7 linked regions of the Ovis aries genome follow. The protein of the gene in region 4 binds, or shares a complex with, the protein of the main gene of each other region. Links are inferred from orthologs where the notes say so. Each region holds a gene or a part of one and is shown on either strand. Other genes may lie near its edges. The genes, in order: LSM7, PPIL2, CRNKL1, SNRPD3, CWC22, GEMIN2 and USP39.

What was found.
Region 1: SNRPD3 (region 4) and LSM7 share a complex: the UniProt entries of both Homo sapiens proteins name them as parts of the U4/U6-U5 tri-snRNP complex. The link is inferred for Ovis aries from reciprocal best matches to the Homo sapiens genes SNRPD3 and LSM7.
Region 2: SNRPD3 (region 4) and PPIL2 share a complex: the UniProt entries of both Homo sapiens proteins name them as parts of the minor spliceosome. The link is inferred for Ovis aries from reciprocal best matches to the Homo sapiens genes SNRPD3 and PPIL2.
Region 3: SNRPD3 (region 4) and CRNKL1 share a complex: the UniProt entries of both Homo sapiens proteins name them as parts of the minor spliceosome. The link is inferred for Ovis aries from reciprocal best matches to the Homo sapiens genes SNRPD3 and CRNKL1.
Region 5: SNRPD3 (region 4) and CWC22 share a complex: the UniProt entries of both Homo sapiens proteins name them as parts of the minor spliceosome. The link is inferred for Ovis aries from reciprocal best matches to the Homo sapiens genes SNRPD3 and CWC22.
Region 6: SNRPD3 (region 4) and GEMIN2 share a complex: the UniProt entries of both Homo sapiens proteins name them as parts of the SMN-Sm complex. The link is inferred for Ovis aries from reciprocal best matches to the Homo sapiens genes SNRPD3 and GEMIN2.
Region 7: SNRPD3 (region 4) and USP39 share a complex: the UniProt entries of both Homo sapiens proteins name them as parts of the U4/U6-U5 tri-snRNP complex. The link is inferred for Ovis aries from reciprocal best matches to the Homo sapiens genes SNRPD3 and USP39.

What each region holds. Positions count from the first base shown.
Region 1 is NC_056058.1:19,032,414-19,036,615, reverse strand, and holds the start of LSM7 (U6 snRNA-associated Sm-like protein LSm7), read right to left. Parts: upstream 2,801-4,202; 5' UTR 2,782-2,800; coding exon 2,776-2,781; intron 2,629-2,775; coding exon 2,538-2,628; intron 6-2,537; coding exon 1-5. Other genes in the region: SPPL2B (signal peptide peptidase-like 2B), read left to right, coding at 2,801-3,007. UniProt on the Homo sapiens protein: Plays a role in pre-mRNA splicing as component of the U4/U6-U5 tri-snRNP complex that is involved in spliceosome assembly, and as component of the precatalytic spliceosome (spliceosome B complex).
Region 2 is NC_056070.1:72,128,805-72,132,304, forward strand, and holds part of PPIL2 (RING-type E3 ubiquitin-protein ligase PPIL2), read right to left. Parts: intron 3,382-3,500; coding exon 3,319-3,381; intron 2,521-3,318; coding exon 2,469-2,520; intron 1,661-2,468; coding exon 1,609-1,660; intron 1-1,608. UniProt on the Homo sapiens protein: Has a ubiquitin-protein ligase activity acting as an E3 ubiquitin protein ligase or as an ubiquitin-ubiquitin ligase promoting elongation of ubiquitin chains on substrates.
Region 3 is NC_056066.1:39,182,176-39,186,382, forward strand, and holds the start of CRNKL1 (crooked neck-like protein 1), read right to left. Parts: upstream 2,801-4,207; 5' UTR 2,700-2,800; coding exon 2,649-2,699; intron 1-2,648. UniProt on the Homo sapiens protein: Involved in pre-mRNA splicing process. As a component of the minor spliceosome, involved in the splicing of U12-type introns in pre-mRNAs.
Region 4 is NC_056070.1:71,547,568-71,551,672, reverse strand, and holds the start of SNRPD3 (small nuclear ribonucleoprotein Sm D3), read left to right. Parts: upstream 1-1,305; 5' UTR 1,306-1,421; intron 1,422-3,282; 5' UTR 3,283-3,300; coding exon 3,301-3,426; intron 3,427-4,105. Other genes in the region: protein GUCD1, read right to left, coding at 961-1,165. UniProt on the Homo sapiens protein: Plays a role in pre-mRNA splicing as a core component of the spliceosomal U1, U2, U4 and U5 small nuclear ribonucleoproteins (snRNPs), the building blocks of the spliceosome.
Region 5 is NC_056055.1:130,058,717-130,062,779, forward strand, and holds the start of CWC22 (pre-mRNA-splicing factor CWC22 homolog), read left to right. Parts: upstream 1-1,263; 5' UTR 1,264-2,136; intron 2,137-4,063. UniProt on the Homo sapiens protein: Required for pre-mRNA splicing as component of the spliceosome. As a component of the minor spliceosome, involved in the splicing of U12-type introns in pre-mRNAs. Promotes exon-junction complex (EJC) assembly.
Region 6 is NC_056071.1:46,865,174-46,868,673, reverse strand, and holds part of GEMIN2 (gem-associated protein 2), read right to left. Parts: intron 1,157-3,500; coding exon 1,043-1,156; intron 1-1,042. UniProt on the Homo sapiens protein: The SMN complex catalyzes the assembly of small nuclear ribonucleoproteins (snRNPs), the building blocks of the spliceosome, and thereby plays an important role in the splicing of cellular pre-mRNAs.
Region 7 is NC_056056.1:57,457,922-57,461,865, forward strand, and holds the start of USP39 (ubiquitin carboxyl-terminal hydrolase 39), read left to right. Parts: upstream 1-1,144; 5' UTR 1,145-1,151; coding exon 1,152-1,419; intron 1,420-3,944.

The sequences.
Region 1 (4,202 bases), on a different chromosome or scaffold from region 4:
ACTGGCTTATCGGAATCACCAAGCAGAGAAGAGAGATGGACAAGCATAAGATCAATGGTCATTCTGGGTAAAGTGCGAGCTGCACGAGGGTGTCAGCACATGAAATTGGGGTGCCCTCACTGGTGAGGGACCACCCCCCAGCCAGACGCAGGCGTGGCAGCAGCCTCTTCAGGGACAGGACAGATGCAGGACCAAAGGGGGAGCAAGGGAAGGGCTCCCAGGAGACGAGCAGTGACAGCTGACCCCACACCATTGCCACTGCAACAGTCGGCAAATCCGCCTGCGCCTGTTTTGTAAACAGTTTAACTAGAGCCCGGCCCCGCTCATTTGGTAAATGTCGCTGTGGCAGCTCAGCTGCTGAATGGTGGAGTTGAGGAGCTGCGACAGAGACCGTCTGGCCAGCACAGCTGAAAATGTTCCCTGTCTGGTCTTCTGCAGAACAAGTCTGCCAGGCCTGCCTGAGTGCGAGGCCCTGGCTCTGCTTCCTCTGCTGTTGACAGCCCTCCTCAACCCTGTGACGGTGCTCACCAAGTGGGGTGATGGAGAGTGACAAATCCCAGAATCCATCTGGGCACTTGGCCCCGGGTTGGGTAGTGAGCCCACACCTGTGGATCCTCCCTTCTTACTGGGGGAGGTGCCGCAGCAGGTGGGTGGGATTTTCAGATGAATCCAGCATTCCCCCACCCCTCCCTCTGATGTGAGATGGGACCCTCGATCAGACGTCAGTCTGTGGTCAGGCTGTAACAGAGGGCTTCGTGGATGTGATCAAGGTCCATGAATCAGTCCACTCTTAGTGGATCTAAAGGGAGGCTATGCTGGGTGGGCCTGACCTACAGGTGAGCCATTAAAAGGATGGGCCCTTTCTGAAAAGAGAAGTTGAAAAAATTAGATTTTTCTGCTAGCCTTGAAGGAGTCAACTGCCATGCTGTGGACAGTGTCTGTGGCAGAGGCAGTGGGCAGCCTCTAGGAGCCCAGAGGGTCCCTGGCCAACACTTGCCAGAAAACGAGGACCCCGGGCCTGAGATACAGGCTCCCAGAGATGCTCCCTTACTGCAACCTCGTCAGAGACCTGAGCCTGAGGCACCTGGAGTCTGGAACCACAGGTGCTGTGAGATAAAAATGGGTTGTTGAAGCACAGAAAATGAACAGAAGGGACTTCCCTGGTGGTCCAAGTGGTTAAGAATTCATTCTGCAGTACAGCAAATGTGGGTTCCATCCTTGGTCTTACATTCCATGGAGCAACTAAGCCCATATGGCATAATTAGAGAGACCTGGCCTGACATCTGAGACCTTATGCAGCTAAATTAATTAAAAAAAGACAAACACAAGCGCCTTGAGAAGCAGGAGCCCCATCTCCTTGTACATCCCAGAACCGGCATGGTGCCAGTGTTTGTTCAGATTCAGAGCCTCACTGGGCTGGGTACCTAGACGGGCAGGCACTGTGTTTTTAGCCACTCTGATGCTACCCAGGCGTCCACATCTCAGAGGAGGAGTCGTCTGAATCACCATCTTACCAACAAAGAAACTGAAGATCAGAGATAGCTGAATAAGTGAAGCACTGGGTGCTGACTAAGTGTCAGGAACTTGGCTAATGACATTACCCTTTAATTTCACCACCACTGCTGAGGTAAGTGGAGTTAACAGCCTCTGACAGATGAGACAGACTCAGAGATTATAGCGACTTGCCCAAAGTCCCACAGCCAGTGAGCTGGGGCTCTGCCCTGGACGGCACTCTCCACGTAACCTTGCATCATCTTTCCTGCCAGTCTCCTCACGAGATCGCAGAGGGAGATGCAGTTAAAGCCTCACAGTAACTGAAAAAAACCTGCCAAGCCCTGACAGCTGTTACCAGGAGCTTATACCAAAGGACCCTGACTTGGGATGCAGAGTCAAGCAGAGCTTCCCAAAGCAGCTGAGAGCTGCCTGCCTCACTCAAAAGCAAAAGGCTCATTCTTTACCCTGGAACAGTGGTGAACAAGGAGATGAGGTTTGCTTTCAAAAGGTGCCTCAGGTGGCTTCGTGTAAATTGAGTATAGGGCCTGGGTTCTCAACTGGGGCAATTCTGCCCCTGCCAGGGAACACCAGGCCAGGTCTGGGATGCCTGTGGTCATCAGAACTAGAAGGCTCCTGGAATCGAGTGGATGGGACCAGAGATGCTGCTCCACACCCTACAGCGCCCAGGACGGCCCCCTACAGAGAACAATACGGTCTTAATGTCAGCAGTGCTGAAACTGAGAAACCCTGGTGCTGAGGGGGCCCATGGGGGGCTGGGGCAGCCGCCAGGGTGAGACAAGACCCAAAGGAAGCAGAGACCTGAATCCTAGCCCCTGTGGCTGCGGGCGAGGTTTGGGCCCCTTTGCGTGCCTCAGTTTTCCCACCTGCAAAAGGGGTGTAACCGTTCCTATACGCCGGCGCCGGCAGCAGGCCGGACGAGTTGTCCGAGCCAAGCGCCTAAAGCGCGGCCCAGGCATCCGTTACCGGTACCGCCTCCCGTTACTCCTCGTGGACTGTGGAGGGGGAGGGCAGCGGGGCCTCACCTTCTCTGCCTCCCTGGAACTTCACTCGGATGGTCTTGTCGATGTACTTGGATAGATCCAAGATGCTCTCTTTCTTTTTCTTCTCTTTGTCCTGCAGGGGATGCAGAACGCTGTGAAGCGGGGAGCACGGCTGGACTCTCCCCAGTCAACCCCACCAGCCCCGCGAACCCCGCCAGCCCGGCGAACCCCGCCAGCCCGGCGAAACCCGCCAACCCCACCAGCAGCGCCGCACGCTCACCGCCATCTTGTCGCGCCGCGTCGCTATGCGCAGGCGCCGCCACTGCGCCCTTTGTACCTACCCCTGCGCGCATGCGCGAAAGACGCAGGGCGCCTGCGCGGCGCTCTGCGCCGGGGCGTTGCTGGGAAACATCTGCCGACGCCTGTGGCGGGGACCGGGCGACATGGCGGCGGCGGCAGCGGCGGCGGCGCTGGCGCGGCTCGCAGCGGCCTTCCTTCTCCTCGCGGCCCAGGTGAGGGCGGCGCCGACCCCGTTGGCCTCGCCGGCCACGGTGCCCCGGCTTCTCACCCCTCCCTGGCCCCGCGCAGAACCCCGCCCTGACCGGCCTGGGGCCAGCTTAGGGGATCCGCGCCCCCGGTGCCGGCAACCCGTGGGCCTGGGGCCCGACCGTGACCTTGCGGGTCTGTCCCCCGGCCGGTCTCCCTTCTCTGTCTGGACGCCGTTCCCAGCCGTGGTGTCACTGGGTTCCGCCCGGACCTAAAGTTTTAGGTCCCACTACCCCGCTTCCGCCCCGGCCCCTGCTGGTCTGTCTCGGGGTCTCCAACCGCCTCTGGGACTCCCCTCTCTGACTCCGTGGCCTTAGTCGGGGGCTACCCCTCTCTGACCCTGGCATCCCCTTGAAAGCGATACTACCCCCATTCCCCGTGGTTGTAGTCAACTGCCCAGCGTGGCACCCAGTGACTGGCGGCGTCGAGAAGCGTCCAGGAGCCCAGCCCTGGAATGGGGTCGAATCGCCGCCCCATCTTTTTCTGCCGTGACCTTGGCAGGGGAGTTCCCGCTTTGAGTTGGTCGTCTGCAAAAGGAGGATAAGTGTACAGTGCGCAGTCAGCGAGATGATGTAGGGGATCCCGGACGTGGGGCATGCTACTTGTTTGTCACTTAACCTCAAGGGTCGCCACTGGGGGACAGACCTGGAGATGGCTGATGTACGTTACCTTGAGTGCATTTTTTATTTTCCAAACCCTCCCTCTCTCCCAAATTCCATAACTCCGGAAATGGTGCCCCCCCCACCAACAGCCCTACAAACTGGGCCATTAACGTTGCCCTTTCTGTGCCAGCCCCCCAACCTCTGCTTCAGGCTGCTGGCTTCTCTCCAAGGCCGCTTTTGTCCCCCAAACTCCCAGTTCATTTTCAGCCCTGCAGGAGGGATCTCTTTCAAAGTGTGTCAGATCTTGTGTCCAAATGAGAGCTTTCTGGTGCCACTGACACATTCAGGAGGACTCTGTGATCCGGCTGACAGGAAACCATCCTTTGTTTCCAACTCTAGCATATTAAAGGCACTTTGCTCACTGGGCTCTGTTTCCCTGAAACCTAACTCCCTCCAACGTTGTGTTTCTGGTCTCAGCTTAGGGGTGCCACATTCCAGCAGCTTTCTGACCCACCTCCTCCCCAGGTGCTTTGCCAGCTCCCTGTATTTCCCCCAGCCC
Region 2 (3,500 bases), about 580 kb from region 4:
CAAATTCATACTAACTTCCTAGGTATGACGAGTGTCTCGTTTCTTAAGTCCTTAGCTTTTAGAGACACACTCAAATACCTAAGCGTGAACCGGCACGAAGGCACCGACACAGCGGAGGGGACCACAGATAAACTCAGATGCCCGACGGCGGCTGGAGGGAAGCTAGGGCTGGAGACAGGCCGCACGCAAACTCGACTCTCTCGACCCTGAACTATCAGCTAAGACACAAGAGGGCGCTCTCTAGATCAAGGGTGGTAAAAAATGTAAAAAGGCACAGTTGAGGGGGATTTCCTGGGGGTCCAGTGGCTAAGACTCCATGCTCCCAATGCAAGTTCAATCCCTGGTCCGGGAGCTAGATGCCACATGCTCCAACCAAGACACGGCGCAGCCAAGTAAGTAATTAAAAGAAACCAAGTTGGGTCAGATCTTCCTTGCTCGAATCTGAGCCCGAGACACTGCTGGGCTCCCCGCCTCAGCTTGCCCCAGACCACAGCCCCTGCCCCTGCTCCACTCATACCGGGCAAGTAAGAATGGGCCCCGCGCCGCAGGGCCTGTCACGGCTGGGCCTCTGCCTGAAGCGCTCTCCCCACAGGGCACGCCCCACCTGTCTGCAGAGCCCCCCTCAAACTCCATCAGCTGGCCCCCAGCCCCTCTCCCTTGGCCCACTTCACCTCTGACCCCAGGACAGGCCGAGTCTGACCCACCGCAGTGACCTCATTTCCAAAGCCCGCCCTCTCATCTCAGGAGAGGCTTGGCCCTCACTGTCTGCACGTGGCAGGCAGGCACGCAGTGAACGCTTGTGAAGGAGCCACTCTCGGAGCGAGGAGCTCCCCAGCACCCAGACTGTCCGGGCCGCCAAGGCCGGCTGGCTCCTCACTGCTGTCCGCACCTGCTGGGGGCTGGCCGGCCTCCAAGCATTCCCGGAACGCACCCACCAGCAAACCCTGACCCAGCCCTCCCCCAGGGCACCTGCACACGCCCAGGCCCATAGGGAACTGAGAACAAGGCCAGTGCTCGCGGAGGCTGCCTCCACACAGGCGTCCGGCTAGCAAGAGCAGTGCAGGGCACGCAGGGGTGCAGCACGGGGCCCCGGGACTGGGCCGGGGCGCACGACCAATGCCGAGCCGAGCGGAAAGAGCCCAAGAGCCCCCAGCCCCACGCCCAGCCGCCCACCTGGGCCTCAGCCTGAGCAGCTCCGTCTCCAGTGACACCTGGACCACAGCTGGGCAGGGCCTGTGCCCTCAGGGGCCCAGCTCAGCCCACACGGCCCAAGTGCCCCACAGTGAAGGCTCATGCCCTCAACTGTGCCTTTTTAAATTTTTTACCACCCTTGATCTAGAGAGCGCCCTCTTGGCCTTGTGTCTTAATTGATGATTGCAGGGTCGAGAGAGCCGAGTTTGTGTGCCACCCATCTCCAGCCCCAGCTTCCCTCCGGCCGCTGTCGGGCGTCTGAGTTTATCTGTTCCCAGTTTTAAACTACCTGTGCCTCTAGGAAGACAGCATAACATTTTTGATAAACTGAAAGCAAGCGTCTGGCCTGCTCGGAAGGTAAGAACCTGGAGAGAGGTGGGGCTCGGGTAACCCGAGCAGGCCGGAAAGGCTGCTCACCTTCACTGTTCTTCGCAAAGTTCAACTTGACCAGGGACCGCCCATCCAGTTTCTGCAAGAAGCAGAATCAATGAAAATACAGAAGCAGCTAGCGTGCGGAGGTGCTGAGGCCACCAGGCCAGTGTGGCAGGCAGCAGCTCTCTCTGGCCTAACTCCCGCCCAGAACAAGGGTCTCCACCCCTGGGTCTCACAGCACTGGCGCTGCTCCCTGACACCCCCAGGCCCCTGTCCTCCTCTGAGGTAGCACCCTGGTCCCTGGTCCTGCTCCGCTACAGAGCCGGCCCCGCACCGCAGCGCTAACACCCCGCCGGGAGTGAACTGCAGGCACGCCACGAGGGAACGGAGAGCAGCCTGCGCGGCGGAACCGGGCCCAGGCCTGTGGCAGGTGTGCAGGGCTGCGGCGGGAGGGGCCGATCCTGCGTTCTCTCCAGCACGGCACACCGAGCACGCCAGCAGTGGGAAGCTAGCTTCCACACAGCCCGTAAGGAGCATCGCCCAGAGGGGTGGGACGCCCAGCGCCTCCGAGGGTCTAGGACCCGAATCCCCTTCACACCCACCAGCAGGGGCCCAGAATGCTTCGACTCCTCCAGGGCAACGTGCCAGGAGTGACCAGGCCGAAAACGCAGCCCCGGGGCCGGCAGGCTGGGGGCCACTGCACGTGCGCCTGGCCAGCGTTGGTAACAGCAGGGGATGCCAAAGCCCGCGGTGCCGCCGCAGGAGGCTGCCCCTGTGTGACCCCACATGTGGGCACGCGGGGGGCATGCTCCACGGAGGACAGGCGTGGGGAAGGGAGGGGGCACGGGCGCGTGTGACACTAGAGCGTTCGCCGGCCTCACCGAAGCTCCTGCAGGGCCACCTACCTCTCCGTTGCTGGGGTTGGTCCCGTACTTCTTAAGCCAAGGAACGATGTTCCTGGAGGAAGAGACCAAGCGTGTCAGACGGCGACGGGCCAGAGCCGGGGACTGGGCTGGGGGGCGGCTGCCCAGGGGCTGGGGGCTGCTCCGCCCTCTCTCTCCGCCTCATCACGGGAAGGAGTGCTTCTGGCCGCGCAGGCACCAGTGGCCGCTTGGGGTTTCTCCTGCCGTTGTGCACAAGCGTGGACAAACACCACTAATGGCAAGCCCTCCACACACGTTGCTGCGGGTACCGGGCCAGCCTCGGAACCACACTCCGCACAGTTCTGGACGACGGGGGCGAAACGCTCTCGCTGTGACTGGAGAGTGGGTCTGGAACCAGCCTCGCGGTGTGATCTCTACCAGGTTCCCACAAACACCTCCCAGGCAAAAGGGGCCCAGCCTGACAGCGCCCGTCTCCCCTTCATCTGAAGCGCTTTCCGCATTTTCTGAAATGAGGCTGTCACGAGGAACGGCAGAAGCCTGCGTCCTCGGAACACAGACGGGGCACGAGGCTTCCGAGGGCAGCACCAGAGAGGCAGGCACCTCGACTACGGCTCCGCCTTCGTGACGTGAAAGCTACACACTCTCCAATATTCCAACAGCTAGGGGGTGCGGATCAGAACGCTGGGGGCCCCCAGGCAGAGGTCAGAGCGGTGCTGCCCCTCCCATCCCCAAGAGGCCCACCCAGGGCTCTGGAGGCTGCAGGCCCGCAGCGTGGCCCTGCCTGCAGCCCACACCCTCCCGCCGCCCTGTCTCAGGTGGGTGCCAGCAACCTCACCACATCTGCCAGCTTAGACGTCAAGGGGAAACTCACAGCAAGTCAAAGACGACACCTTCGGGAGTGCACACCGGGTAGGTGAAGGGCTGCAGAGAGAGACTGAGGGGCAGCAGAGTCACTCCTGAGCGCCGCCCTCTCCCGACCCAGAGACGCTGGCGGGCGGCCGTGGTCGGGGGCCCCGCCCGCTCCTCGCTGCGCAGCGGGCCCCGCTCCTGCAT
Region 3 (4,207 bases), on a different chromosome or scaffold from region 4:
AACTCCTTATTGCCAAATTTGGACTCAAATTGAAGAAAGTAGGGAAAACCGCTAGACCATTCAGGTATGACCTAAATCAAATCTCTTATGATTATACAGTGGAAGTGAGAAATAGATTTAAAGGACTAGATCTGATACATAGAGTGCCTGATGAACTATGGAATGAAGTTCGTGACAGGAGACAGGGATCAAGACCATCCCCATGGAAAAGAAATGCAAAAAAACAAAATGGCTGTCTGGGGAGGCCTTACAAATAGCTGTGAAAAGAAAGAGAGGCGAAAAGCAAAGGAGAAAAGGAAAGATATAAGCATCTGAATGCAGAGTTCCAGAGAATAGCAAGAAGAGATAAGAAAGCCTTCTTCAGCGATCAATGCAAAGAAATAGAGGAAAAGAACAGAATGGGAAAGACTAGAGATCTCTTCAAGAAAATTAGAGATACCAAGGGAACATTTCATGCAAAGATGGGCTCGATAAAGGACAGAAATGGTATGGACCTAACAGAAGCAGAAGATATTAAGAAGAGGTGGCAACAATACACAGAAGAACTGTACAAAAAAGATCTTCATGACCCAGATAATCACGATGATGTGATCACTCACCTAGAGCCAGAAATTCTGGAATGTGAAGTCAAAGTGGGCCTTAGAAAGCATCGCTACGCACAAAGCTAGTGGAGGTGATGGAATTCCAGTTGAGCTGTTTCAAATCCTGAAAAATGATGCTGTGAAAGTGCTGCACTCAATATGCCAGCAAATTTGGAAAACTCAGCAGTGGCCACAGGACTGGAAAAGGTCAGTTTTCATTCCAGTCCCAAAGAAAGACAATGCCAAAGACTGCTCAAACTACCGCACAATTGCACTCATCTCACACGCTAGCAAAGTAATGCTCAAAATTCTCCAAGCCAGGCTTCAGCAATACATGAACTGTGAACTTTCTGATGTTCAAGCTGTTTTTAGAAAAGGCAGAGGAACCAGAGATCAAATTGCCAACATCCGCTGGATCATCAAAAAAGCAAGAGAGTTCCAGAAAAACATCTATTTCTGCTTTATTGACTATGCCAAAGCCTTTGACTGTGTGGATCACAATAAACTGTGGAAAATCCTGAAAGAGATGGGAATACAGACCACCTGACCTGCCTCTTGAGAAATCTGTATGCAGGTCAGGAAGCAGCAGTTAGAACTGGACATGGAACAACAGACTGGTTCCAAATAGGAAAAGGAGTACGTCAAGGCTGTATATTGTTACCCTGCTTATTTAACGTATATGCAGAGTACATCATGAGAAATGCTGGGCTGGAAGAAACACAAGCTGGAATCAAGATTGCTGGGAGAAATATCAATAACCTCAGATATGCAGATGACACCAACCTTATGGCAGAAAGTGAAGAGGAACTAAAAAGCCTCTTGATGAAAGTGAAAGTGGAAAGGAAAAAGTTGGCCTAAAGCTCAACATTCAGAAAACGAAGTTCATGGCATCTGGTCCCATCACTTCATGGGAAATAGATGGGAAACAGTGGAAACAGTGTCAGACTTTATTTTGGGGGGCTCCAAAATCACTGCAGATGGTGACTGCAGCCATGAAATTAAAAGACGCTTACTCCTTGGAAGAAAAGTTATGACCAATCTAGATAGCATATTCAAAAGCAGAGACATTCTTTGCCGACTAAGGTCCATTAGTCAAGGCTATGGTTTTTCCTGTGGTCATGTATGGATGTGAGAGTTGGACTGTGAAGAATTGATGCTTTTGAACTGTGGTGTTGGAGAAGATTCCTGAGAGTCCCTTGGACTGCAAGAAGATCCAGCCAGTCCATTCTGAAGGAGATCAGCCCTGGGATTTCTTTGGAAGGAATGATGCTCAAGCTGAAACTGCAGTACTTTGGCCACCTCATGCGAAGAGTTGACTTATTGGAAAAGACTCTGATGCTGGGAGGGATTGGGGGCAGGAGGAGAAGGGGACGACAGAGGATGAGATGTCTGGATGGCATCACGGACTCGATGGACGTGAGTCTGAGTGAACTCCGGGAGTTGGTGATGGACAGGGAGGCCTGGCGTGCTGCGATTCATGGGGTCGCAAAGAGTCGGACACAACTGAGTGACTGAACTGAACTGAACTGAACTTTAGTATTAACCGCCGACGGAAAAAGTGAGATCAACCAAAATACAGCCCTTGTCATCTCTTTTCACTCCTTCCACTCTCACCCGGGGTTGACTCCTATTACAGCCTTCAGCACAGCTTAATCATCACTTCTTGCGCTGGAGACCCCTCACACGAGCCCAGGAAGCCACGGCCTATTCCTCTGGGGCTCAGGAGCCTTTGCAAGGCTGCAGTTCTACCCTTACGCAGGGTAGCTCGTAGCCCGCTCTACCCGGAGCCCCAGCGACTAGCGAGTGTCTGTTTCAGCGTGTCTGTGCTGAAGAACCTCTCTCCTCCCCCAGATAAACACTTTTTAACACGACGACCACGCGGACGCGGAGGTGACCCCCATCCCCGGCTGGCCCTCCCCGCCCGCGGCCCCCGCTCAGGTAGGGAGGACCAGCTCCCGGGACCACACGCCTCCCGCCCCAGGGACCACACGCCTCCCGCCCCAGGCACCACCAAGGCCGGGCCAACCCCATCCCCGGCCTCCTCCCACAAGGCCCCGAGCCGCTCACCTTGGCCACTTTGGGGATCCTTTGCTTCCCGGCAGCGGTGGAAGCCGCCATGGCTGCAGCGGCGACCGCGGGCGAGCCCGGGACCACAGAACCTTCCCCGAGGGCTCGCCCACACCGCGCAACTTTCCGACAACAAGCGGGATCCCGGAACCGGAAGCGGAACTGGCTGGGGCGACCTTTGACCTCTTTCCCGCGCCGTGACGGAGTCAACGTCGTTTCTGTGGTAACCGGGCTGCGCGTCCTCTTCGGAGCCTGGGACTCGGGAGTTGCAGGTGAGGTGAGGAGTGCTGGCTGCATCCGGGCCGTCAGGGGCACATCCTCAGATCGCCTCTGGGATTAGGATGACCGTGCGAGGACGGGTGGATCCGTGAAATCGCGGTATCCCGCAAGGGGACAGGAACCCGGCTACCGTGCGGACGCTCGAGGGCGGGGGTGGGGTAGAAAACTACCTCCTGGCATACCTAGCGGCAAGCTGCTGACCTCCTCGGCCGCCCTGAGCTGGGGTGCATTCTGGGCTTTGTAGGCCCGAATGGTCAACTGCCCCTTGGTTTCCGGACAGTTGTGACCAAATAATTCTATGGCTTATAAATGAAAGTGACTGAAGGAATTTTAAAGCCAGATAACAGAAAAAAGTGAAAATAAATCATCGGAGTACTAGCAAATAACCCAGCCTTATAATGTCAGATAAGCAATGTAATATATCAATCTTAAATAATATCAGATAAACAGATATTTAAAATTTTCTGTCATTGTGTCTTAATGTCAATTTTCGTAGCGCCAGTTCGCTTAACTTTTGTTGTTATTGAGTCGCGAATTCAGGTCCCACTCTTTGCGACCTCATGGACTGTAGCACACCAGGCTTCTCTATCCTCCACTATCTCCTGTAATTTGCTGAAATTTATGTCCGTTGAGTCAGTGATTGCATCTAACCATCTCACCCTCTACCACCTCCTTTTCCTTTTGCCTTCAGTCTTTCCCAGCATCAGGTCTTTTCCACTGACTTGGCTCTCTGAATATAGTGGCCAAAGTATTGGAGCTTCAGCTTCATTCCTTCCAATGAACACTCAGGGTTGATTTCCTTTAGGACTGACTGGTTTGATCTCCATGCAGTTCAAGTGACTCTCAAGAGGCTTGTCCAGCACCACAACTAGAAAGTATAAATTCTATGGTGATCAGCCTTCCTTATGGTCCAGCTCTCAAATCTGTGCATGACTATGGAGAAAACCATAGCTCTGACCATACAGACATTTGTGGCAAAGTGATATCTCTGCTTTTTAATATATTGTCTAGGTTTGTCATAGCTTTCCTTTCAAGGAGCAAGAATCTTTTAATTTCATGGCTGCAGTTATCATCCTGCAGTGATTTTGGAGCCCGAGGGGAAAAAATATCTGTCACTGCTTCCATGTTTTCCCCTTCTATTTGCCACGAAGTGATGGGACTGGATGCCATGTTTTTTTAATGTTGAGATTCAAGCCAGCTTTTTCACTCTCCTCTTTCATCCTCATCAAGAGGCTCTTTAGTTCATCTTCACTTTCTGCCATTAGAGTGGTATCATTTGT
Region 4 (4,105 bases):
AGCAGCTCCAAAGAGGACTTTTCGCTCCAGGGAAAGGTGACCCCTCCCCCCGCCCCGGCCGCTCAACCAGGACCCTCCTTCCCTCCATGACCGCAAGCGAGAGATGCCCAGGGGTGTCCCTGCTCAGGGAGTTATCAGGAAAAACAAACAAACCCCAACTGACCGTAGCCGGCCCGGCGGGACCCGCCGGAGCGCACACCTGCCCAGGTTTTGCTCAGAGCTCAACAGCCGGGGCCGCGGCGGCGGTCGGCCCAAGGTCGCGCGGCCGGACCCTGCCCGGCGCTCGGGCGGGGTTCCCCCCCAAACTCGATTCCCAGGCTGAGGGCTGCCCCCCAACCCTGATCCCGGATCCCCGATCCCCAGGGCCCTGCCCCGCGCCCACCGCGATCCCCGGGGTCAGGGCCGCCCCCCGATCCCCGGGGCCCTGCCCCGCGCCCACCGCGATCCCCGGGGTCAGGGCCGCCCCCCGATCCCCAGGGCCCTGCCCCGCGCCCACCGCGATCCCCGGGGTCAGGGCCGCCCCCCGATCCCCGGGGCCCTGCCCGGCGCCCACCGCGATCCCCGGGGTCAGGGCCGCCCCCCGATCCCCGGGGCCCTGCCCCGCGCCCACCGCGATCCCCGGGGTGACGGGGGGACCACACTGACCGGGCTCGAGCGGCGGCCCCGCTGCCTGCGCGTCCACCTCCGTCCTCATGACCCGGGCGGCGCGGGGCTCCCATGGCCCCGGCCCGGCGCGGGCTGCAGCTCTGGCGTCGACTGGGGACGGGAGCGCGCGGCCGGCGCGCGCCGGCTCCCCGGGCGGCCAGCACCAGCGCCCCGGGGGGAGCGGGGGCGGGAGGCGGCGGCGGCCCCAGGCCCCGCCCCGGCCCGCCCCGGCCCGCCCCGGCTCCCACGCCGGCGGCCCCCCGGCCCGCTGCTCCGGGTCCCCGCTCTCCCTGTCCGCACGCCGGGGGCACTCGCCTCGCTCGGGGCACCCCTTCCCCGGCGCCGTCGGCTTCCCAGGCTTCCCCTGCGGGGGCAGGTCCCGGCCCCGGGCCCCCGCCGCCGCCGCCGCCCGCCTCGCTGTCCAGCCCGCGTCTGGCGTCGGGCGCTGGGGACCGCGAGTCCCCCTCGGCCCGGGCCGGCCCGAGGGTCGCTGTTTCCGGCGGCACCTGGGTCCGGTCATCAGCCCCGCTCTTCCCCGGGCCCGGAACTATTGTACCCGAGCTCGGGTTCCCCAGCCGGCGCGGTAAGGATGAACGCGAAGGCGAGAGACGTCGCCCGCCGCCACTCGGGTAAAGGAAGGGGGCGGGCCCTGCGCGAGGCATTTTGGGAACGCGTGGTATTCTGGGAGCGCGCGGCCCGCCATTCGCGCCCTCACGCCTTCGCAGTCGCCGGAGTTCCGTCTGCCCTGCCGCCTCTGAAAGAGGAGCCCGGAGCCGGTGAGGACGGGGCCGGGGGTGCGGGGAGGGCGAGGGCTAGGCCGAGGTCCCGCGGGGGGCCGGGGGGCTGGAGGAGGACGCGCCGCCGAGGAGCCCTGCGGTGCTCGTGGAGGGAGAGCCGCGGGGAGCTGGGCCACCCCGACCCCCAGCGGCGCCTCCCAAGCGCCTGGAGGTGCGTTCGTTAGCTTTTTCCCCGAAGTACTTGCTCTTCGGTTTCCGAACCTCTCCAGGCCGGTGTTTCTCGAAGTATCCAGGCAGTGGTCTTGAGATCGTTCCTGGCTGGTGGCCACCTTCCCCCCAGATCCCTACTTGGCTGATTTCTTTTCAAAGCCCTTGGCATCTCTGCCTCCCTCCCCCTTCCAGGACCTGATCCCCTAACGCTGGAAACACAGGTTATCACATTTCCTTGCTTCTGTCTAAATCGTGTTGCAGCGTCTTGTAACTCCGGCTGCCCTTCCGTGGGGTAGTCTCTGTGCTGCCCCGGTTCCCCCAGCTGCGGTTCAGCGTTGTCCTCAGCAATGGAACCTGTTTTTTCCTAACCTCTCCCGGTCCTTTTCCTCTCTTTCGACCTCCTGCTGCGTGTCAACCGAAAAAATACCGCCACCTAAAAGCTGAGAATTAGGTTTATTCGGTGGGAATCATGAGGACTCCGAGCCCGGAAGACAGGATTTCAGGCGACCCCTGGGAGAGAGAAATGTTGGGTGGGGTGGAGTCAGGCTACAAAGAAGTTTGCAGCAAGGGGCAGGTAATCTGAATATTAAAAGATGACTGTTGAGTAATGGAGACCAGATCTCCGGCCTGAAGAGATTTAATACTTTTCTGTTCTTTGGGAAGATGCAAGAGTCCGGGCTTCCTGAAATCTTTTCTTTCACATGCATCTCAGCTATCTGGGGCCAATTCCTGCTTTTCGGCTGTTCACAGCCTAATTCCTCCTTTACCCTAAAGTTAAGGTACGAGGGACCGCCTCTTGTGCTTCTGACATCCCCCAGCTCCTCAGCACTTACAGGAAGTAACGGACAGCTGCCAAAAAGCCAGTATGGTTTTTACCTGGGCTTAAAAATTTGCATTTGGAAGGCTGGAATACCAGATGGCTGCGACGTGCCTTGATTACTGGAGAGCAGAAAGCATTTCATTTTACAGAAGTTTTCGTTTTATACACCCGTCTTGGGATTGAAAAAATCCACTTGCTTTTTTTCTCTCTTAATTAGATCAAGTCGGGGTTCTCCCTGGTTATATTTTCCCTCCAGGGTGAGCGTTTCCCACTTGTAGCACGCCGCCACCTTGTGAACACTTGGATATTTTCTCTTTAGCTTAATGGTGAAGTAAGTAGACGGTCAGAGTGCTTAATGGGTTGAATTAAACGCACAGCCCCGTCTGAGCTTCCCAGATGGCGCTAGTGGTTAAAAAGACCTCTTGCCAGTGCAGGAGATGTAAGAGACGTGGGCTCCATCCCTGGGTGGGGAAGATCCCCTGGAAAAGGGCGTGGCAGCCCACTCCAGTATTGTTGCCTGGAGAATCCCACGGACAGAGGAACCTGGTGGGCTACAGTCCATGGGGTCGCAGAGAGTCAGAAAAGCGACTTAACATGCGCACTCAAGAGCCCTGTGGTGGAAGGAAGATGGGAGGCAGCTCTTTCCCGTCAGCTTTCCCCCTGTTGAGGCCCTGTTCCTCCCCACTCACACCCTGCACGTGTTTGCCAGATGGGTCCTTCAAGCTCAGAATTCAGCTAAAAAAAAAACTAGTGCACCTCTGGCAACTTTGCTGAGTTTTCCAGAGTGTCAGCCTTGAGGGGTTGTGGTGTTTGCACATGCGTTCTTGGGCGTCGGAAGATGAGCTAACTGCTGTCTCTCTCTCACCGCAGAACTCTCTTCCTGCCGGGATGTCTATCGGAGTGCCGATCAAAGTCCTCCACGAGGCCGAGGGCCACATCGTGACGTGTGAGACGAACACTGGCGAGGTGTATCGGGGCAAGCTCATCGAGGCGGAGGACAACATGAACTGCCAGGTGCCCTGCTCTGTGCGGGGCCGGGGCGGGCCGGAGCCTCGGAGGGCAGGGCGCGGGCGGCTGGGGCTCCTTGAGGTTCTTGCTCAGCGGTGGTTCACCGAGTGCCTAAGCTGTGCCAGGCCCTATTAGAGGTGCCAGAGAGGCGGGCATCAGTGAGAGCCTCTTGGAGGTTGAGAATATGAAACCTAGAATCTGACTGTTTAGATTGCTCGTCCTTCGCTGCTCCCAGTCCCGTGGTTGTCTTCTCACGGACTTTGGGCCCATTTAAGAGAAGCAGCACAGCCTTCCGGAGGAGGCAGTGGCACCCCACTCCAGCGCTCTTGCCTGGAAAATCCTGTGGACGGGGAGCCTGGCGGGCTGCGGTCTGTGGGGTCGCACAGAGTCGGACACGACTGAAGCGACTCAGCAGCAGCAGCGCAGCCTTCAGCGGAGCCGTCAGGCTCAGCGCCCCCGCCCCGCACAGCGCGTTTGCACAGTGCTTTGCAGCTAGCAGAGTCTTCGCTCGCATACTCTGGGTATTTGCCATTTTCCTAGCAGAAGCACCTCGTGTGACTGCACTCGGAGCAAATACTTGGCCAAGCAAGCAGGTTTGGGTGATAGTTTTATCCATGAAATGGGAAGAATGAGATTACGGGACTCACCTGCTGAATATCGCTCTGCCAAGACGTGTTGGACCCAC
Region 5 (4,063 bases), on a different chromosome or scaffold from region 4:
TGAAGTCGCTCAGTTGTGTCCAACTCTTCCCGACCCCATGGACTGCAGCCTGCCAGGCTCCTCCGTCCATGGGATTTTCCAGGCAAGAGTACTGGAGTGGGGTGCCATTGCCTTCTCCGTCACTCTGTTGGTGGTCCAGTATTTTCCTATTGACTTAGGTTTGCAATCTTGGAACCTGGTAGGCACTTAATATTTGTTACAGTTGGTAACATTTTTGTTTTGGTTCTTGGTTTAACTACTGTAAAAAGTCTAAAAGGTCTGGTTTCCTTAAGATTTTCACAGAAAAGTGGCTACACTAAAGTCTCCTTTTTTTGTCAACTGCAGAGAAATAAGTTTACAGTAAATTTAAAAAAAATCTTAAGACAGAACCAGGTTGCCAGTGAAATTAAAACACGCTTACTCCTTGGAAGAAAAGTTATGACCAACCTAGATAGCATATTGAAAAGCAGAGACATTACTTTGCCAACAAAGGTCCGTCTAGTCGAGGCTATGGTTTTTCCTGTGGTCATGTATGGATGTGAGAGTTGGACTGTGAAGAAAGCTGAGCGCCAAAGAATTGATGCTTTTGAACTGTGGTGTTGGACAAGGCTCTTGAGAGTCCTTGGGCTGCAAGGAGATCCAACCAGTCCGTTCTAAAGGAGATCAGCGGTGGGATTTCTTTGGAAGGAACGATGCTAAAGCTGAAACTCCAGTACTTTGGCCACCTCATGCGAAGAGATGACTCATTGGAAAAGACTGATGCTGGGAGGGATTGGGACAGGAGGAGAAGGGGAAGACAGAGGATGAGATGGATGGATGGCATCACGGACTCGATGGACGTGAGTCTGAGTGAACTCCGGGAGTTGGTGATGGACAGGGAGGCCTGGCGTCCTGCGGTTCATGGGGTCGCAAAGAGTCGGACACGACTGAGCGACTGAACTGAACTGAACTGAGGTTGCCGGTGAGCTTCTAGAGCGAACTCTATGCTCCTTATCCAAAAGAACTATAATTCCCGTCGTGCATTGCTGCCTTCTCAGCCTACAACTGAGCGCGCCATTTCCGCCCACATTGGCGGTGGGTTCTGGGTTTTGTAGTTTGTTGTCTCTTTTGTCTCCGTCTTGGGAAGGAAAACGTGTGGCCGGATCGACGGCTCTGAATCTGGTATTACAAAACAATGTTTAAAATAAGTTAATACAACAACGTATCACAGTCAGTTTAACGTCAGGTTATTATGTGTTTCACGTCCGTCTTCTTCCTACTGCCGGGCCGGGAAGGGGAAGTGACGTGCTTCCGGTGTAATGGCGGCGCGGTGGAGCTCCAGGTAATTACCGAAGTCCGTAGACTCGCTGCAGGCAGCGAGCTGGAGTTGGGGCGGCAGGCTGCCAGGCCGGGTGGGAAATGAAGGGGCCCCAGGAGTAGGTGCGGGCTCGCTGGTACGGCCGTGGTAGGTTTTCGGGGGCGTTGGGGTCTTCCGCCGCGCGGTGGCCCGCGAGGTTGGACCGTGAGTGTCGGTGGGGCCGAAGAGCCCCAGTGAGTGGGATGGGGAGTACCTGCGCGGACCGGGGGGGTTCCTGGAGCTGTCTCTCCGCGGGGGATTTTATTGTGGAATCCAGCAGCAGCGCGGGTACCCTCTCCTTTAGTGTGGGGTGTGTTTTTTGGCGCGGATCGCTTGGAGCCTCTCGAGTTCTTAGTTCTGGGCCCCAGGCCCCTTTCTTAATGCCTGGGCCCCGAACCATAGGTGTGAGATTAATAAACCCTGGTTTATTAAAAAGCTGTGGAAGTTCTCTCTCGTTCAAAATTTCATGAGTCGTTTCTTTTTCATCATTTACCGTGTAGTTCTGCGGAGTGTTCATTCATTATTACTCGTGTTCTTCCTCTTGTTATCCTTTATCCCTACATAACTTTGTTTTTCAGTCCTTCCGTCGTGTCCTACCTACTCTTTGCGACCCGATGGACTGCAGCACGCCGGGCTTCCCTGTCCTTCACCACTCCCGGAGTTTGTTCAGACTGGTGTCCATTGAGTCAGTGATGCCATCCAGCCACCTCGTCCTCGTTCCTTTCTCCTCCTGATTTCAGTCTTTCCCAGCATTAGGGTCTTTTCCATTGAGTCGTCTCTTCGCATCAGGTGGCCAAAATATTAAGAGTTTCTGCTTCAAGGTCAGTCCTTCCAATGAATGTTCAGGACTGATTTCCTCTAGGATTGACTGGTTGGATCTCTTTGCTGGCCAAGGGATTCTCTAAAGTCTTCTTCAACACCACAGTTCAGAAACATCAATTCTTTGGCGCTTAGCTTTCTTAATGGTCCAGTTCTCACATCCATACATGACTACTGGAAAAACCATAGCTTTGACTAGACTGACCTTTGTCGCCAAAGTAATGTCTCTGCTTTAAATATGCTGTCTAGGTTTTTCATAGCTTTTTTTCTAAGAAGCAAGCGTCTTTTAAGTTCGTAGCTGCAGTCACCAGCTGCAGTGATTTTGGAGCCCCCCCAAAATGTGTCACTGGTTCCTTTGTTCCACCGTCTATTTGCCATGAAGTGATGGGACTGGATGCCATGATCTGTGTTTTGAACGTTGAGTTTTAAGCCAACTTTTTTACTCTCCTCTTTCATCAAGAGGCTCTTTAGGTCTTCCTCACTTTCTGCCATGAGGGTGGTGTGGTATTTGAGGTTATTGATATTTCTCCCAGCAGTCTTGATCTCACCTTGTGTTTCATCCAGCCCTCCATTTAGCATGATGTACTCTGCATATAAGTTAAATAAGCAGAGTGACAACATAGAGCCTTGAGAGACTCCTTTTCCAATTTGGAACCAATCTGTTGTTCCATGTCCGGTTCTAACTGTTGCTTCCTGACCTGCATACAGATTATTCAGGAGGCAGGTAAAGTGTCTAGTATTCTCATCTCGTTCAGAATTTTCCAGTTTGTTGTGATCCACACTGTCAAAGGCTTTGGCATCATCAGTAAAGCAGAAGTAGATGTTTTTCTGGAACTCTCTATTTTTTTCTGTCATCCAGCAATTTAATCCTCTGGTTCCTCTAAATCCAGCTTGAACATCTTGAAGTTCTCAGTTCATGTACTGTTGAAGCCTGGCTTGGAGAATTTTGAGCATTACTTTGCTATCATGTGAGATGAGTGTAATTGTGTGGTAGTTTGATCATTCTTTGGCATTGCCTTTCTTAGGGATTGGAATGAAAACTGACCTTTTGCAGACCTGTGGCCAGTGCTGAGTTTTCCAAATTTGTTGGCATATTGAATGCAGCACTTTAACAGCATCATATTTTAGGACTTGAAATAGCTCGGCTGGGAATTCCATCACCTCCACTAGCTTTGTTTGTAGTGATGCTTCCTAAGGCCTACTTGACTTCACATTTCAGGATGTCTGGCTCTAGGTGAGTGATCACACTATCATCAAGTTAGGTATATCCCTAACTTGATGTAAGTCACTGCTAGCCTACAGCTAGTTTAAGAAAGAAGTGGATTTTGCTAATATAGCTGATCTCACTAGTGACTTTGAGGGCTTTCTTGTTGCATTTCTCTACTTCTCGGTTTAAATCTGAGAATCCTAGCATGGGAGAGTAATGGAACAAAAAGGCCTCTTGGCCGATTAGTTTCAACAACCTCCAGACTTTTTAATAAGCCTGCAGCCTAAATATTTTATCTCAGTATATTCATTTCCCAAGCGGACATTGAAAGAGACATTTCAAGGCCTACAAGGAAGTTCATACTTTCAAAGCCTTTTCTTCATGAGTAATATACCAGGGAAGGAAGCAGTGATTAAAGCAAGGCTTTGCCGTTTGTAGCCAAGCTAAATCGTTTCCCAGTGAACAGATACCCAAAAAACTAGTGTGGGCTGCCTCAGCCGGGGGACCTAAGGGTTCCTTGATTATGAAATAGGTTGGCTAATGGGAGGGTGAGACCCTGTGGAGGTTCATCTTTAATTTGACTTTGAGCTTAACTCATAAGTGGATCAGACTAGAGTTCAGTCCTTTCACCTTGAAAGCTACCCTGTGAGTCCTTTCCTGAATTAGTTTATCAGGACAGGTTTATTCTAGACATGACAGGAGCCTCTGGTCTAGAATGTGGT
Region 6 (3,500 bases), on a different chromosome or scaffold from region 4:
GCCAAATTAAAAAATTTTGAAAAGTAACATACATTAGGGATATAATCCAATAGAAGAAATGCTATATAAGAAACAGCATTAAATTAGCTCTCAGAGATCTGAATCTTTCTACACTCCCACCACCATGCATTAAGACTGCCTGTTTCCCCAGCCCTTATTTATTAACAGTGTGTCAAACTTGTTTCACCAATGTTAACTGAAAAATGCCAGCTCAGTGGAGATGTAAGTAATGTTTTTATTTTAAGAGTTTGGGCATCTTCTCATATAAGAACAATTTGCATTTCCTTCCTGTGAAATGTCTCTTTACACCCTTTGCTTGTTTTTGTTTTTTAAATTGAGGTCTTGGGCCTTTTTTAGTGATTTTCAGAGCTTTTACATTTAGGGGATAAACTAATTTTAAATGAGAAAAACAAAACGTGGCACCAAAGAGAAAACAATAAATACCTATTCAACACAACAGACAACATGGTATAGGGAGTTACCAGTAATGCAGATATATGAACATCTGCAAGCTTGGGGGCAGGCGAATCCTGAAGGACAAGAAGCAGCTGGCCACATACTTTATTATTAAAGTCATATGAAATATAACTAATCTTTATATTTATAAAATATAAATTAAACATAGCCTCAACATTTCACCACCAGAATATGCAATTTATTAAACATTTTTAAGCACCTGAGTTTTTAAGCACCTGAGTTTTCCTTTGTTTCTCTGATTACTCAGAACTCACTGTTTGACCCTTGCCTAATCATTAAAAAAAAAAAAGTCCTATCTAGCTCAAAAAATTATTAAACAGCTAAAGCACACACTGTTTTAGAAAATAGGCTGTTATACATCAGTCATATATTAGTTGCTTTTTAAATTTCTTTTACAACCTTGGAAAACAAAAAAGCTATTATGCTTCTATGTTTAGCAAATGGGCTTACAAAAACGGTCAGGAGACTGGATTTGGCCTAAGCTATATTCTGCTAAGTCTCTATACTAAATCTCGCTCCAAAACTATGACCTGTTTTTTGTTTGTTTAGTCACAGTATCACTTACTTGTACATAATCGATTCCAGGACTTTCACTTGCGGCTGGTCCAATAGCCCCTTCAGCACATAACCTTTCACCTAGACAAAATTTTTTCCAGCCTTCTTCATCTTCACATTTTGGCTAAAAGAAAAAAAAAAAAGAATTTACTTATGTATTTTCTTTAATACTGAACACTGAAAAAACAAGTGAGGATTCCTTCATATTCCCACCATCTCACACAAACATACAGTGCTTGTAATGGAGTGAACTGTGTCCCCTCAAAATTCCTATGCTGAGATCCTCACCTCCAGCATGTGCTGGTTAGGAGACTGAGTCTTTACAGCAATGATTAAGTTAAAATGAGGTGGGTAGAGTGGGTCCTAATCTAATCTGACTGACATTCTTGTGGGAAAGAGGAAATTCCGATAAAAAGACATTAGGGATGTGTACGCACACAGAAGGCCACGTGGGGACCCAGCTAGGTGGCCATCTGCAAGCCAGAGACAGTGGCCTTGAGAGAAACCTGCTGACACCTCGATCTTAGCCCTCTAACCCACAAAGCTGTGAGAATACCTTACTGTTTGGTAAGCCGCTCCATCTGTGGTGGTTTGTTACAGCAGTCCTAGCAAACCAGAACAGGACCCAGGTGGCCACACCATATGTGGGACATTTTCAGTCTGGATCATACTTTAATGAACACTGACAAGCAAGGAAGTGCTCAAAAGAGGGTGATAAAGACGTAAAATTGATATAAAAAAAAATACACTAAGAATGCTTACAAGAATGAAGCCTATTTATCCCAAGGAAGGAGACATAATTACATACTTCACATAAAAGGCTGTCCAATCAAAGAGGGAATAGATTTATTCTACATTGTCAGATGAAAAAAGCATGACCTTTCAGCTCAACCCTAACAGAACCTAAATTTTTTAAATTTATTTATAGTTGATTTATAATAGAGTTAGTTTCAGGTGTATAGCAAAATGATTCAGTTAACAGAACAATTTTTATTTGGGCACATCACCTCACAAATCATTCTACATACATATGCAGTTTTCCCCCCTGAGGAGAAAGAGCTTTCATTAGATCCTCAGAAGGAGAACAAAACCCCTAATAGGTAAAAGCCTACTGTCCTGGAACAATGTTTTCCCATTACTCCATTAGGTCAGAGACTGTTTCTGCTTCAGGTAGCACTGAAAATCCTAATTATTACATACGGTTGGTGTTTAACAAATGATTAGATCAATCAATCAATCAATGTTCATATTTACATAGTTGCCTTCAGAGGTTGCTTTAAAAATTCTTCATCTTATTATTTACATGTTTCACATCTGCCATGATGAATATATGTGTTACTGCTATGTAATATTCCATTGTTTTGACGGAGGATCTTCATTTATTAAATCAATCAATTATGCTGTCATTTCTCTTTTGACAAAATTATATCACCATCCTGTTACTGGTGCAGCTTCTTTTTGAATTATATAGGTACCCAAAAGTCCTTACCTTGAGCAAGGAAAAAAATGTATCTACCTACCTACCGTCCTCTCCTTCTTCTTACCAGGAGACCTCACCGTACAGTGAAAGGCTTTCGAATCAGACAAAGTTTGGTCTCTATATCAGCTATACTTTTTATGAGTTAAATGATCTTGGGCAAGTGATGTTAGTGTCTTTCACACTTTTCCTAGAGCAGAGCATCCAACAAGTATACAGAAGCATATAGAGAGGTTACACTGAATCTCTCAGATTTCAGCTGGTAGTCTTAGGCCATGAGAACAGCTTCCTCCATTTATCCCAAAGTGACACCATTTAAAACACGTTAGGAAGCACTGCCTAGAAGAAGCTTCTAAAATCTGAAATCTGTGGGGAATTCCCTGGTGGGCCAACGGTTAGGACTCCATGCTTACACTACATGGGTTTGATCCCTGGTGAGGGAACCAAGATCCCACGGGGAGCACAGCATGGCCAAAAGAACCCCCTGAAATCTATGAACCACCTGAAACAATGAGCAAAATTGTATGAATAGGTGTGTTTTCCCCTCTCTGAAAATAAACAGCTTTCATTTGATTCTCCAGAATATGAGACTCCATAAGAGGTTAAAGAGGTTCCCTGGTTGCTCAGCAGTAAAGAATCGGCCTGCCAATGCAGGAGTCTTGGCTTCAATCCCTGGGTTGGAAAGATCCCCTGGAGAAGGAAATGGCAACCCACTCCAGTATTCTTCCCTGGGAAATCCCATGGACAGAGGAGTCTGGTGGGCTACAGGCCATAGGGTTGCAAAGAGTCAGACACAATTGAGTGACAAACACTTTCACTTTTTCAATGGAGATACAGACATAGGATACAGACTTGTGGACACAGTGTGAGAAGCAGAAGGTGGGAAGAATTGGGAGAGCAGCATGGAACATATAAATTACTATGTAAAATAGACAGCCAGTAGAAATTTGCTGGATGAGACAAGAAACTCAAATCAGGTGCTCTGTGACAA
Region 7 (3,944 bases), on a different chromosome or scaffold from region 4:
CCTTGGAAGGAAAGTTATGACCAACTTAGGCAGCATAATAAAAAGCAGAGATATTATTTTGCCAACAAAGGTCCATCTAGTCAAGGGTATGGTTTTTCCAGTGGTCATGCATGGATGTGAGAGTTAGACTATAAAGAAAGCTGAGCGCTGAAGAACTGATGCTTTTGAACTGTGGTGTTGGAGAAGATTCTTGAGAGTCCGTTGGACTGCAAGGAGATCCAACCAGTCCATCCTAAACAAGATCAGTCCTGGGTGTTCACTGGTAGGACTGATATTGAAGCTGAAACTCCAATACTTGGGCCACCTGATGCAAAGAGCTGACTCATGGGAAAAGACCCTGATCCTGGGAAAGACTGAGGGCAGGAGGAGAAGGGGACGACAGAGGATGAGATGGCTGGATGGCATCACTGACTCGATGCACATGAATTTGAGTGAATTCGGGTAGCTGGTGATGGACAGGGAGGCCTGGTATGCTGTGGTTCATGGGGTCGCAGAGTCGGACACGACTGAGCGACTGAACTGAACTGGACACTTTAAATGCGCTTTTTATTGTATATCAATCACACCTTAGTAGAACTGTAAAGTAATTCAGGGTGTGGAAGGGGTCATGAAAGTCAGGTCCTGAAGCTTCAGCTTTATTGGCTCCACTCTCTAGTTTCTCTCTGCTCGTCATTCTCATTTTTCTGTGATTCCTCTAAATGTGGAATTAAGAGTCGCCAGGTTGCTCCAATAAGGGTATGACTTGGGAATGTCTCCTGGTTCTGTGCAGGGGTGTTGATCTTTGAGGCGCGGAGACTGTGGAGACGACTTCCCTATTCTCGTTTCGGGATACAAAGTGTCTTGAAGACACCGGGCGTCCAACGACAGCTTCTGTTATCCAGAAATCCCCAGTCAGTAAAAGGTTCTTGCCTCTTTAAACCGGAAAAGGGTAACTTGCAGAAGATCCGCCTACCGGTCTCCGGTGCGCACGCAGCAGCAAAGGAGCCACAAAAGGCACAGTACTTCCCCGAAGTTCTCTGCGGCGTGATTTGTCCCCGTCGGCGACTCGTAGAGAACCTTGGCCTCCATAACAGCGCCGCTTCTGATTGGCTGCTTGCCGCGCGCTCGGTCTTGTCTGGGGGCTGCGCCGGGCGACTCGGCCGGTAGTGGCGATGTCCAGCCGGTCCAAGCGGGAGTCTCGCGGTTCGACCCGCGGGAAGCGCGAGTCCGAGTCGCGGAGCAGCTCGGCTCGCGTCAAACGGGAACGAGATCGGGAGCGGGAGCCCGAGGCGCCGAGCTCCCGAGGCAGCCCGGTGCGCGTGAAGCGGGAGGTCGAGCCGGCGAGCGCGCGCGAGGCCCCGACGCCGGTAGTCCCGGCGGTGAGGGTGAAGCGGGAGCGCGAGGCCGACGAGGACTCGGAACCTGAGCGGGAGGTGCGAGGTGCGCGGGGCCGGGCGCGGGCTCCTCTCTCGCGTTCTTCTTTTTCTCTCTCCAACCTTCTCTCCCCGCGGGAAAGTCACACTTTACACGCGATCCGACTCGACTGCTATTTAATGAGGACCTTACTAGTCTTGGTAATCGTAGCTCTAATGTTTCTAGCAACTTTAATAATAACAGCAGCTTTCCTTTATCGGATACCTAGCTTCGGGGCCAGGCTCGTTGTTTTACAGGTGTTACCTCCTTGAGTTTTTACAAAACACCTGACGAATGAGCCCTGCTGTAATTCCTGAAATCAGACCATTCAGAGTGGAGAGCCTGAACTCTGGGCACTTGGACTACACTGCACTGTCACTTGGGGTTGTAGCTGCCAGGAGGTTTGGATTCTAGTCCGGCCTCTGAGATTGGGTCACTGGTTTGGGAATCTGGGTTTCATATGTCTGTCCCTCTTTAAGTCGATGGAAGGAGTACTGGAACCCATGAGCTTTGAGAGCCCTGTCAGTCACTTCTGTGACTGTACCCTCTGCCTTCTGCTGGACTCATTGTGCTTCTCCTGGGAATTGCTGGAGATCTTTTGGCCCAGCCTTGGTACTCTGACCTGTGTACAGTTTTCCGACTTGTTGATACCTTACCAGTCTCTAAGTAGGTTTCCATCACGTCTGAAGCTTTTCCTGTTTAAGCTCAGTTAATCTTTTCCATATCTGAACTTGGAACTTCTGATTTGAACATGTTTGGTATATACTTGTTTTCTGGTGAGTTAGCAGGTAAACATATCACTAGGCTACACTGTAGGGGCAGTGTTCTTTGTTCCGGGATTGTTCATTCTCCAAGACTATAATTCTGTCTCTGTGCCTGTTTATCTGTTTAAGATTATATTCTTGGGGAGTTCCCTGCTGGTCCAGTGGCTAAGACTCTACCCTCCCAGTGCAGGGGGCCTGGGTTTGATCCCTGGTCAGAGAACTACATGCCACTAGATCCCACATGCCACAGCTAAGAGTTTGCATGTTGCAGTGAAGATCGAAGAGCCTGCCTGCTGTAACTAAGACCTGGCACATCCGAATAAATAAAATAAATACAAGATTATACTCTTATATTAACTCTTAAATTTCTTGCTCAAGGTTTTGCATTTGACATATTTTTGTATTATGCACAGAGTCTAGGATCGCACCTTGCTCATGAAAAGTACTTGATAAATGTTCTGTGAATAATCTAGTAATTTCAGGGTATTCTTTGGTTTCTTTTCTTATATATTCTGTCAGCCTCAGGTTTCCCTTTCTCTGAAAGAGAAATTGTTTTCCAGATATTTTGCTTAGTTGTAGTCAGGAGATTGTTTTCTCTGGGACAGATTAAGATACCAGTTGTGGTTACTGTCTTCTTTTTTTCCTTTTATTTTTATTGTGAAATAGATCATAGGTACTAAGGTAGACTAAATGTCATGCACATGTATAGTTTAAAGAAGAGTGTGAGTATATAGCCTTAAATCTACCACTTGTCAAGGATTGTGAAGGGTCTGACCCTATTTGTACACTACCAGGTTAGCCTGGTAGTGGCTAACTTGGATGGATGGTAGTGGCTAACGGTTTCACGGATGCTGTTAGAAGACATTGAACTACTGGGCCTCAGACAGCATTCTGCAGCAATAACAGTAGCCAGAATATAGCATTGTCATGGTTTCCTAAGTTAGTTCCTATAGTGCGACATGATGAGAATCCATACTCACGGGAAGTGGGTGCACAAGACAACAACTCCGAACCTAGAGAACCTGAATCTTCTACAATGGGCCTTGAGCTTGCCTCGCCTTTGCTCTGTAAGGACACATGGTCTTTGACTTCCAAGGCTGTACAAACAAACTTCACTATGCCAATATCTTTGGCAAGATAGTCTGGAGGCGGTCTGTACCTCTGGTCACAGTATATGCAGAAACAGGAGAGAGCAATGCAGAATTGCCTCCTGACACTGTTCAGCTTCAGAAGTGGTGCTTAACTAGTACCTTGTTTAGTTGCTCAGTCGTGTCCGATTCCTTGCAACCCCACGGACTGCTGCACACCAGGCTTCCCTGTCCTTCACCATCTCCTGGAGCTTGCTCAGATTCATGTCCATTGAGTCGGTGATGCCATCCAACCATCTCATTCTCTGTTGCCCCTTTCTTCTCCTGCCCCCAATCTTTCCCAACATTAGGGTCTTTTCCAATGAGTTGGCTCTTTGCATTAGGTGGTCAAAGTATTGGAGCTTCAGCATCAGTCCTTCCAATGAATATTCAGGGTTGATTTTCTTTAGGATTGACTGGTTTGGTCTCCTTGCTCTCAGGGGACTCTCAAGAGCCTTCTCCAGCACCACAGTTAGAAAGCATTAATTCTTTGGCACTCAGCCTTCCTTATGGTCCAACTCTCACATCTGTACATAACTACTGGAAAAATCATAGCTTTGACTACACAGGCATTTGTCAGCAAGATGATGTCGCTCCTTTTTAATATGCTGTCTAGGTTTGTTATAGCTTTTTTCCAAGGAGCAATCATCTTTTAATTTCA